2 linked regions of the Saccharomyces cerevisiae S288C genome follow. The gene in region 1 interacts genetically with each later gene. Each region holds a gene or a part of one and is shown in the gene's direction. Other genes may lie near its edges.

Region 1 (4,606 bases):
TTCAGTAACTCTTTTTCATGACGCGTTGTTTTCTTTATTTTTTTCTTATCTGACACATGTAATTATTCGGTTTCCTTGCTCTATATAATTTAGCGATAGTTCTCTAGTCATTGCTTAGATTTTATATGAGGAATGTGTGAAAATTTTGGTAATTGTTGGGATTCCATTGTTGTTAAACGCTATAATATAGGTATACAAAATGTACAAGAAGTTCCCCTTGAAGATATATGAATCTACAAGAGAGAGTCAATATTTCTACATAATAATAATAATAATAATACTACTGTTATTTCTCCTTTCGTTTTCTATGTTTCATTATCTTATCTCATCACCAATCCTTGCATTTCGTTTCCATTAAATTTAATGACTGTTTCTCATTTCTTATGACATTTTCCTACATCTTATAGATGATATACTAGTAACGTGAGTACTACTATATAGATGATATCAGGATTTTATTTCATCGGCATAGTTACTACTGCTTCTACCATTGAAATCATCAAAAGTATGTATTTTTGTTGAATTCAAAGAAGTCAATCTTATGTCTAAGTTACCCCACTTGCTTGTTATAAAAAGCCTCCAGACTTGATGTATATAGCCATTTTTTTTTTGTAAACATAACAATATAATATTTGGGCTTGTCATGATATATTTCTTGCTTAGTAAATAGACGTATGTATTTAACTAACTTTTGGAAACGTTGTAAGTTCCATTAATAATTTTGGTCAACATAAAGTGGCGAGAAAAACGCCCTGAAAAAACCTTTGTGGTGTATACACTCAATGTGGATGTTGCTTTAAAATGGATTGTAGTGTTATCTTCACGCACGCTTAAATCATTGCAAAAAGTTTTTTTTAACGTAAGTGAAAAAAGACACCAATGCAGTTTTATTAGTACCTGCCAAACAGATAATCGATCATTTATGAGGTCTTTTACTTCACATTGAGTTTTTGTAGCTCAACAGTCTATTTATCAAATATACTTGTTGGAGACCTTACAAAAGTGTCTTTCTACATCTCAACTTAAAGTGATGAAGTTGACAAGGGTCTTACTCTGAAATTCCATCAGAGTAACTACGGTAATCTATATGGATTTCTGTTGGTCTTTAGAACAATCTCTGAGGATGAATTCAAGACTCACCTTCCAGTACATAGTAATCGTAGGCCCTTGTCTGTTATTGTAGAAACTTCTTCGTTGAATTTTAATAATGTGAGACGGAAAGAAATACAACCATATGAACAATTTTTTTAATTGTTAGTTATCCTGCGAACTGTGAGGACCAGTTTAATATATGGGAGGAGTTGAAAAAAATACAGTTTTAAGACTTTAAGCTTTCACGCAATCACTTACATTCTTTTGTGTGTATGCAGGCTATAGCTATCATTGAAATAGTAAAAGAAAGCAACTCCCGTCACTTTTACCATTGGTTCTAGAATGGGTTTGCAGTATGAAAAAAAATGAACGTAAAGAATATATTTCAACTGTCATTTTTAGCCCATTTCGAAGAATGATTGAGCACCGTCATTGATCGCTTAAGATGGCTAGCTTCAACATAGCGGAGTACATTGGAAAATCAGTGATCATTCTGTTGACTTCGTTTCAAATAATTCAGGTCAATATAATGTTAGAGTGTTCAATTTAGTGGGCAGTTTGTAACATGTATTATTGAGCAAGTGAGCTCTGATATCAGAGACGTTAACATGCAACTCAACCAAGTTGACTCATTCAAGTTGTGCTAAAATGGCCGTAGTGGAGGGGAGGGCCAGCGATGCAGGCGACACCAGCAACAGTTGAAGTTAGTTTTACCATTATGTTCGCTTTGCTTGTTAGTGCTGAATAGACTATACTATAAAAGGAGCAATGCAGGATATTCTCCAAGGCATAATGTGTGAAGTGGCCTATTAGTATGAATATCTTAGCAGTTGTTGCTGCTCAAACGAATCATTACACATCTCAAATCATCCTTTGTTCACTTTCTCTTTCTGCACCTACATCACCGTCTTTAACTGCCTTTATTGAGATGTGGCTGCTCCTGACCTGTTCACCTTTTATAAATCTTGCATAGGAAGGCATGCATTGAACTTTTTTTATTTACTTTCGTATGTTCAGACGAAAAAAAAAAATATTTCAGGATTACTTTCCGAAAGAATCCTTTGTATACATGCAATATCCTTAGACCCAACTTGATTAGAACTGTCATCCAGAAGCCCAATGCTCAAGCTTTGAATATCATATTTTAAAAGTTTTTTATGACAATGAAATTTTGTTTCTCCAAGTCAGGACACGGGGAAAATCTTTACTTTTAGTGCTATCCATAAATATACAGTTCTTTAGCCCCATATTTTATCAGTAAAACTACTTATGGCTGTCCTTACCGTATGCGGTATAATGAAACTTTTGAAAGGAACATCTTAATATACCGCCTTGACATATCCGGGTAATAATAATACAATATTCGGAAGTTTTCTAGCATTAAATGGACAGTAAGGTAAAGAAATGAGATGTGGTTGTTATATGGAGATCGTAGAATAAAAAGAGAGACACTTACAGCACTGGTGCGATCCATAACCTGAATTCATAATGCTGGTTCCACCTGCTAACTTTGGGATTGCTGAAGAAGGAATATATAGATGTTCTAAAGTGGAGACATTAAATTTATCCTTTCTGGAAACTCTCAATTTAAAGACAGCTATATTTATTGGAGGTCAAGAACCATCCAAGTTTTTCAAAGATTTTTTCACAAGATCATCCATAAAATGGATTGTTTTAAGGATGTCTGATTTCTCGGCTGCGGCAGTTCCGGTAAAAAGCTCTTCTGTATCTAACGCAAATTTATATTCGAATAATAACAGTACTCTATCATTACAGGAAGAAAAGAAAAAATCCACTGCAAATGGGTCACAAAATTCTACTACAGGGGATCCTGTAATTCAGGAGGAATTGGCTTACCACTTGACTGACAATGATGACTTAATGCTGATTAAGAGCACGTGTTTAAAAAGAACTTTCAAAACATTATTGAATGTGGATAATTATAATGTTTTATTGGTAGATAAGACCGCGTTGGTCATTGGTATACTTCGAAAAATTCAGAAATGGAATATTGCATCAATCATAAATGAGTACAGATTATTTTCTGGTAAGAATAGAAATTATTTTGCGGAAACATTTCTAGAAATAATTAACATTGAGATAGAACAGGAGAAGGATAATAAGACAATTGTGGACAACAAAGCAAAAAAATTGCCCCTTGAGAATAATAGGACGCATTCGATAGAGTATAAGGCCAATTCTGGCAAACTTATTAGAGTAAATGAAGATGACCTTTGCAGAGAGCCAGAAGTGCCTCAGCGGCTTTTGACATTAATAAATCAAATCGAAACCAAAGTGAAAAATAATAAAGTATTACAAGTAAGTGGAGTTCTAGGAGACGATTTGAAGAAAACCTCTTCTGACCTAGGAATTTTTGGCCATAGGTATAGATTAGCATTTAATAAAAAAGAAAATGGAGATTATGGCTATTATAAAGCAAGGGGAAAAGATAACGTCAAAATAAGGATACCCTGTGATTCTGAATTACCAGATTGGTTCAGGTTTCAACGAGATTTGTGGGAAAAAGAAAACGTTCCGGAAGAGCATCACTTTTATAGGGAACATATTTTTACATAGTTTACATTTTTACGTATATGTATAGATGATTTCATGATAAACGTTTTCCACTTTTCTATCATTTCATCATCTAAATGGGAATAGCAAACCCTGGGAGTTCTTTGTCGCACTATTTTCCAAGCGTAAAAAGGCATACTTCAATTTTTCTTTTGTTTACGTTTCAGGAAGTCAACAAAACTTGTTTACTTATAAACACAAATACCTACAGGCACTAAAGTTTGTTTTTTGGCCTCTATAAAATTTCCCTCAATGTTGTATTCTCTGCGTGTACATCCTCATAATCCTCGTTTTCTTCATCATCAAAATTCAAATAAGTGTGATCACCCATCGCTCTTGGTTGGAAGATTAATTTAACCAAAAAAATGATGCCAAATAAGGCGCAAAGCCCTGCAACGATGAGGTACAGTACGCCTAGTGACATATTTCTACCACCAATAGCTCCATTTGTAGTCAGTACAAATGATTTTGTGCCACCAAAGAGTGAAATCGGATAATTCAACTCAATGTTCATTTGATATTTACCCTTCGGTAAAGAAGCAGATTCATTTTTCAACGTCAACTTGTAAAACTTGGGAAAGGCTGCAGTCCTCATCCATACCTGGAACTCTTCCCAAGTATGGATATCAGGAAGATTTTCATCTGTATACCCATCGGGATACTTCTTCATCCAGTTTGGCGGTGGAACAATATCGCTAGCATTATACTTGGTGGTTTTAAATCTGTGACGATCAATACTCCATGATATATGCTTGTTAGTTAAATTATAGTCTTCTGTGTCATCTATACCACTCAACACCTGAGAAAATGTATCATTAAACATGGAATTAGCGATCAACCCACAGGGATATATTATTTTGTCTTCCCTACTTCTTATTGGACTACAGCTTGTATCCAGATCATCTTTTTTGATAGGCTCCCCTAATATTTGCTTTGTGTC
Region 2 (4,652 bases), on another chromosome or scaffold:
TTTTCCTGTCACCCACTTTTATTTTAACTGAATTATTATATTTAGCTTTACACATATAAGTCTCAACGTCTGACATATGTCACACTTTCTTTACCGCCAGACCACTTCTAATATTCCGAAAGCAAGGGCTATGAGCAGTCCGACAATTCGGAAACCATAGCTCGCCATAATTTACACGCTCTATGCACATATTAAAATACATTTAAACAGTACTTACAGCGCATCTGGGATGGTTCGGTTATGTACCAGGACAATATTAAGTTGACGCGTCAGTTGAGTAGTAATCGTCCTAGTATTTTCGCCTACCATGCCGCTTTTTGCGTTTTTGACCGCCTCTGGTCCCTTATACAATCCACAGGCAAAAAAAAATTACATAACAAGATTACTCTTCAAGAAACCTGGAAAATATTTTTTTGGGCAGTTTTTTAAGACGATAATAAGTTCTATGCCTCATTTACGCACCAGCGGTTCTATTACCAAGCTGACTCTTATCGGCGATGAGTATGATCTAAGGCTCGGGCCGCCCATTTTGCTGCTCCCGGTCAAGTAGCACGCTCCCTCTTTTCTTATCGCAGGCTTTGCCCACTACCCGATCTCTAAAGCGCCCATTTAACCTTTTTTAAAACAACAGCTTAAAAGCTTTTTGGATAAAAAGCTTTTATTACTACATCTCTGCATCTTCTCTCCGGGGTCTAAGAAAAGGGCTCAAATTCGCGGAGTTGAGAAACGAGAAAATCCAAATAAAGCGAACAAGAGGGAAAAAAATTTTTTCTTCCGTTCTTTCCTTCTTCTATACTTCAAGAAAACAAGCAAACGCACCCACTACACACAAAGTATCTTTTACGAAACATAACACAAGAATCCAATGTCAGGGAACCCAGGAAGCTCGCTGAGCGCATTGAGACCTACTCCACCCGAGAGAGGTTCGTTCCCGCTAGACCACGACGGCGAATGCACCAAGTACATGCAAGAGTATCTCAAATGTATGCAGCTTGTGCAGAACGAAAATGCAATGAATTGTAGACTACTGGCAAAGGACTACCTGCGGTGCAGGATGGACCACCAATTGATGGACTACGATGAATGGTCACATTTAGGTCTTCCTGAGGATGCTCCAGGCAACAACGGTAAAACCATAAAAGACGCCACCGATAATAAATAGCCGCCCACATCGGAATATCGAATAAAAGCTAGACGCTGTTGGTAATATCATACTTTCTACAACAACTGGTAAAGAACTTCTTTTTTTGAAATAGCCGCCGATATGGCGCGAAGTGACCCTGCTCGAGGCTGTGCGGGCCCAGGCCCGTCCGTTTCTTTTTTTTCTAGGGGGCGGCAAACGGGCCAAAGGGGTCAGCGTGATTGGGCGGTTTTCCACAAAGCTTTAGTCTCTCTCCTCACGCCTTGGCTTAGTGAGTGGCCGGAGTTAAAGTTGCGAGGAAACACACAGCGAAGGGAAAAAGCTTTGGCGTGCTTAACGATATGGCTTATGGCCCGGTTGCAATGCTGGTTTAGTTTCCGATTACGATTTTCGATTTGAATCCTGGCTCCACATCTCCCACCCTCTTTTTTTATCTCTAGCATCGTGCGTTGGATTTTATATTATGAAGTTCCTATATTAGAATAAAGTTTAGTATTTACTTCCCAGATCTACCGGATTTACAAAGTATTGTTACCTCACCACCAAGTGAAAGGAAACAGTGCAGTAACTCCTCGTGCTTACGCTAACTAAATAGATATTATATTCACGAAATACTGCGCCAGATAGCAAGCAAACCCAAAAAAAAAAAAGAAAAAGAAAAAGGAAACAAAGTGGGAGACAGAAAAAGAGTGAAAGAAACATAGTATTTACCAAGTCGAAGATTTAGCACAACAAAGACTAATCTACACGCATACTGCTCTTCTTCATTATTGCTTTATCTTCCGCGTACCTTAGTTATGTCACAGAATATTCAAATTGGCACTAGAAAACGTTCAAGAGCAAATATGAATAATTCCACTACTACGGGCCCTGCTAACAATACAAGCTCTAACAAGACCTTTTTGGATAATTTCGAAGAAACGCGCACAAACAAGCTGCTGGACGAGATGTTTGCTCGGCAAAATTCTTTTCTAACAGACAATCTGAGGAACAGTCTAGACCTGAATCAAGCAGACAATCCGCTCCGTCCTCGGCAACACCAACACCAGTTGTTCTTGGACAATGAAAATGCCATAGAACTAGACGAGGAGCCGCGTATCATTAACACCACAATCAATAACAGTAATAATCATAACAGTAGTCGAGTGGACGAGGATGCTGACGATGACATCATTTTTATCAAAGAGCAGCCAATTCAGTTTTCGTCACCTTTGATTCTGCCTAGTAGCAGCAGTATCAATAACAACAATAATATTGTTACTTCAAATAATCCAGGGTGCGGTACCGCAGCTACAAGCAATAGTACGTATATCACGACACCAAAGAAATTCAAGAAGCAAAGAACCATCTCACTGCCTCAGTTGCCTCTATCGAAGCTGAGCTACCAATCGAACTATTTTAATGTTCCTGATCAAACCAACGCTATCGTGCCAAGAGTAACGCAAACTGAAAATGAGCTGTTGCATCTAACGGGGTCGTGTGCAAAGACTCTGGAGGGCAACAAGGCAGTGAATCTCACGATTGCTCACAGCACTTCTCCCTTTTCCAACCCACCAGCACAAATAGCTTCCCTGCCTCAATCCAACCTCAAGAAACAAATTGGTTCTTCACTACGGAAATTTACATCAAACGGCTCTTCAGAAAGCGCATCATCCAATAAATCAAATTTCAAAACGGACAAAGACGGTCACTACGTTTACCAGGAAAACGACATATTTGGCAGTGGCGGCCGCTTTGTTGTGAAGGACCTATTGGGCCAAGGCACGTTTGGTAAAGTACTTAAATGCATCGATAACAAGTATGAACCTAATTACGTGGCTGTAAAAGTGATAAGGGCTGTAGATAGATATAGAGAAGCCGCCAAAACAGAACTAAGAATTCTACAGACTATCCTGAATAATGACCCTCAAGGTCAGTTCCAGTGCCTCTTGCTAAGGGAGTGCTTCGATTACAAAAATCACATTTGTTTGGTGACAGATCTATACGGCAGGTCCATTTACGATTTTATGTGCTCCAACGGCATTGCCAGGTTCCCCGGCTCTCATATTCAGGCCATTGCCAGACAGCTAATCAGATCTGTCTGCTTCTTGCACGATTTGGGCATAATACACACGGATTTGAAACCAGAAAATATCCTGATTTGTGACGAAACCCATATTGCTCAAAAATTGCCTTTGAAAACCGTACAGTCGCTAAGCAAGAGACGCCGTGAAGCCAGTAAGGGGAAGCGCAAAATCTTGAAAAATCCAGAAATCAAAATCATTGATTTCGGTAGCGCAATTTTCCATTACGAATATCATCCTCCTGTAATATCCACTCGTCACTATAGAGCCCCGGAAATTGTCCTTGGCTTGGGCTGGTCGTTCCCCTGCGACATTTGGTCCATCGCGTGTGTCCTAGTAGAACTGGTTATTGGCGAATCTCTTTACCCCATTCATGAAAATCTAGAACATATGGCTATGATGCAACGAATCAATGGAACCCCTTTCCCCACAGACATTATTGATAAGATGTTTTACAAATCTAAACATAAATTGGGCAACTCTCCATCAGACCTAAATTCAACGGTGATAAAGCATTTCGACAGAAAAACTTTAAGCTTACAATGGCCTGAAAAAAATAAACGCGGAGATACCATAACCACCGAAAAGTCAATGAAAAGGGTCTTGCAGTCATGTGATCGCTTAGATATTTACATCTCAAAGGTCTTGAAACAGGATTACGGCGATAGCTTAAGCATCAATTGGAATCTACCGCCGGAGAAAAACTGGTCTTTGATAAATTCGAAATTGGCATGGAAAAGACAAACACATTCCTCTTCTTCCTCAACTACTGATGAACTCGATAAGGAAACTTTCTTGTTTTGGTACTGGTTCATCGATCTACTCAGGAAAATGTTTGAGTTCGACCCAACAAAAAGGATTACCGCAAAGGACGCTCTGGACCATGAATGGTTTAATCTGGGCATACTGGATGATGGTATTGCAACTTATAATAATACCCAAGGATAGTGGGTGTTCTCGTTCTACTTTTCTCTTCTTTTTTTCACATCTTTTACTAGTTCCGTTTTTTTTTTTTTTAACTCTTCTTTTTCATTTTCCGGTTTTTAATAATATTTCTTTAAATTTCTATATTCAATAAAAATTCTTCCTACATATATATCTTCATATTCAAACATTTATAGTATTTTTACTAATTTTTTGTTGTTTTAATATACTATAATAATATTATTATTACTGCTACTACTATTATTATTATTATTATAATTATTATTATTATATGTCATACATAATACATTCTATTGATTGTCTTTGTCTTCCTTTTCTTTCTCCTCTAGATACTACTAACTTTACTTCAACTTCGAATTCAAATAATTTATTTCGTCCTTCAAACTTGCCTCTTCTACAGTTTTTACCAGCTCCTTTGTACATTTGGCAACATCAAACGCAATCCCTGCCAACCGCTGTTTGAAGTTTTTGTCAGCATAATCTTGATCGCTCTTTTCCTTCGC

Evidence for each region.
Region 2: mutations in OCA4 (region 1) and KNS1 impair growth when combined (synthetic growth defect), as found in Saccharomyces cerevisiae (2 studies listed by BioGRID, with this or other methods).

Annotation. Positions count from the first base shown.
Region 1 is NC_001135.5:287,233-291,838, reverse strand, and holds OCA4 (Oca4p), read left to right. Parts: upstream 1-2,580; coding exon 2,581-3,669; downstream 3,670-4,606. Other genes in the region: YCR095W-A (uncharacterized protein), read right to left, coding at 2,042-2,200; aminophospholipid translocase regulatory protein CDC50, read right to left, coding at 3,902-4,606.
Region 2 is NC_001144.5:105,186-109,837, reverse strand, and holds KNS1 (serine/threonine protein kinase KNS1), read left to right. Parts: upstream 1-1,938; coding exon 1,939-4,152; downstream 4,153-4,652. Other genes in the region: COX19 (Cox19p), read left to right, coding at 866-1,162; SPA2 (Spa2p), read right to left, coding at 4,491-4,652. UniProt on the Saccharomyces cerevisiae protein: Nonessential protein kinase.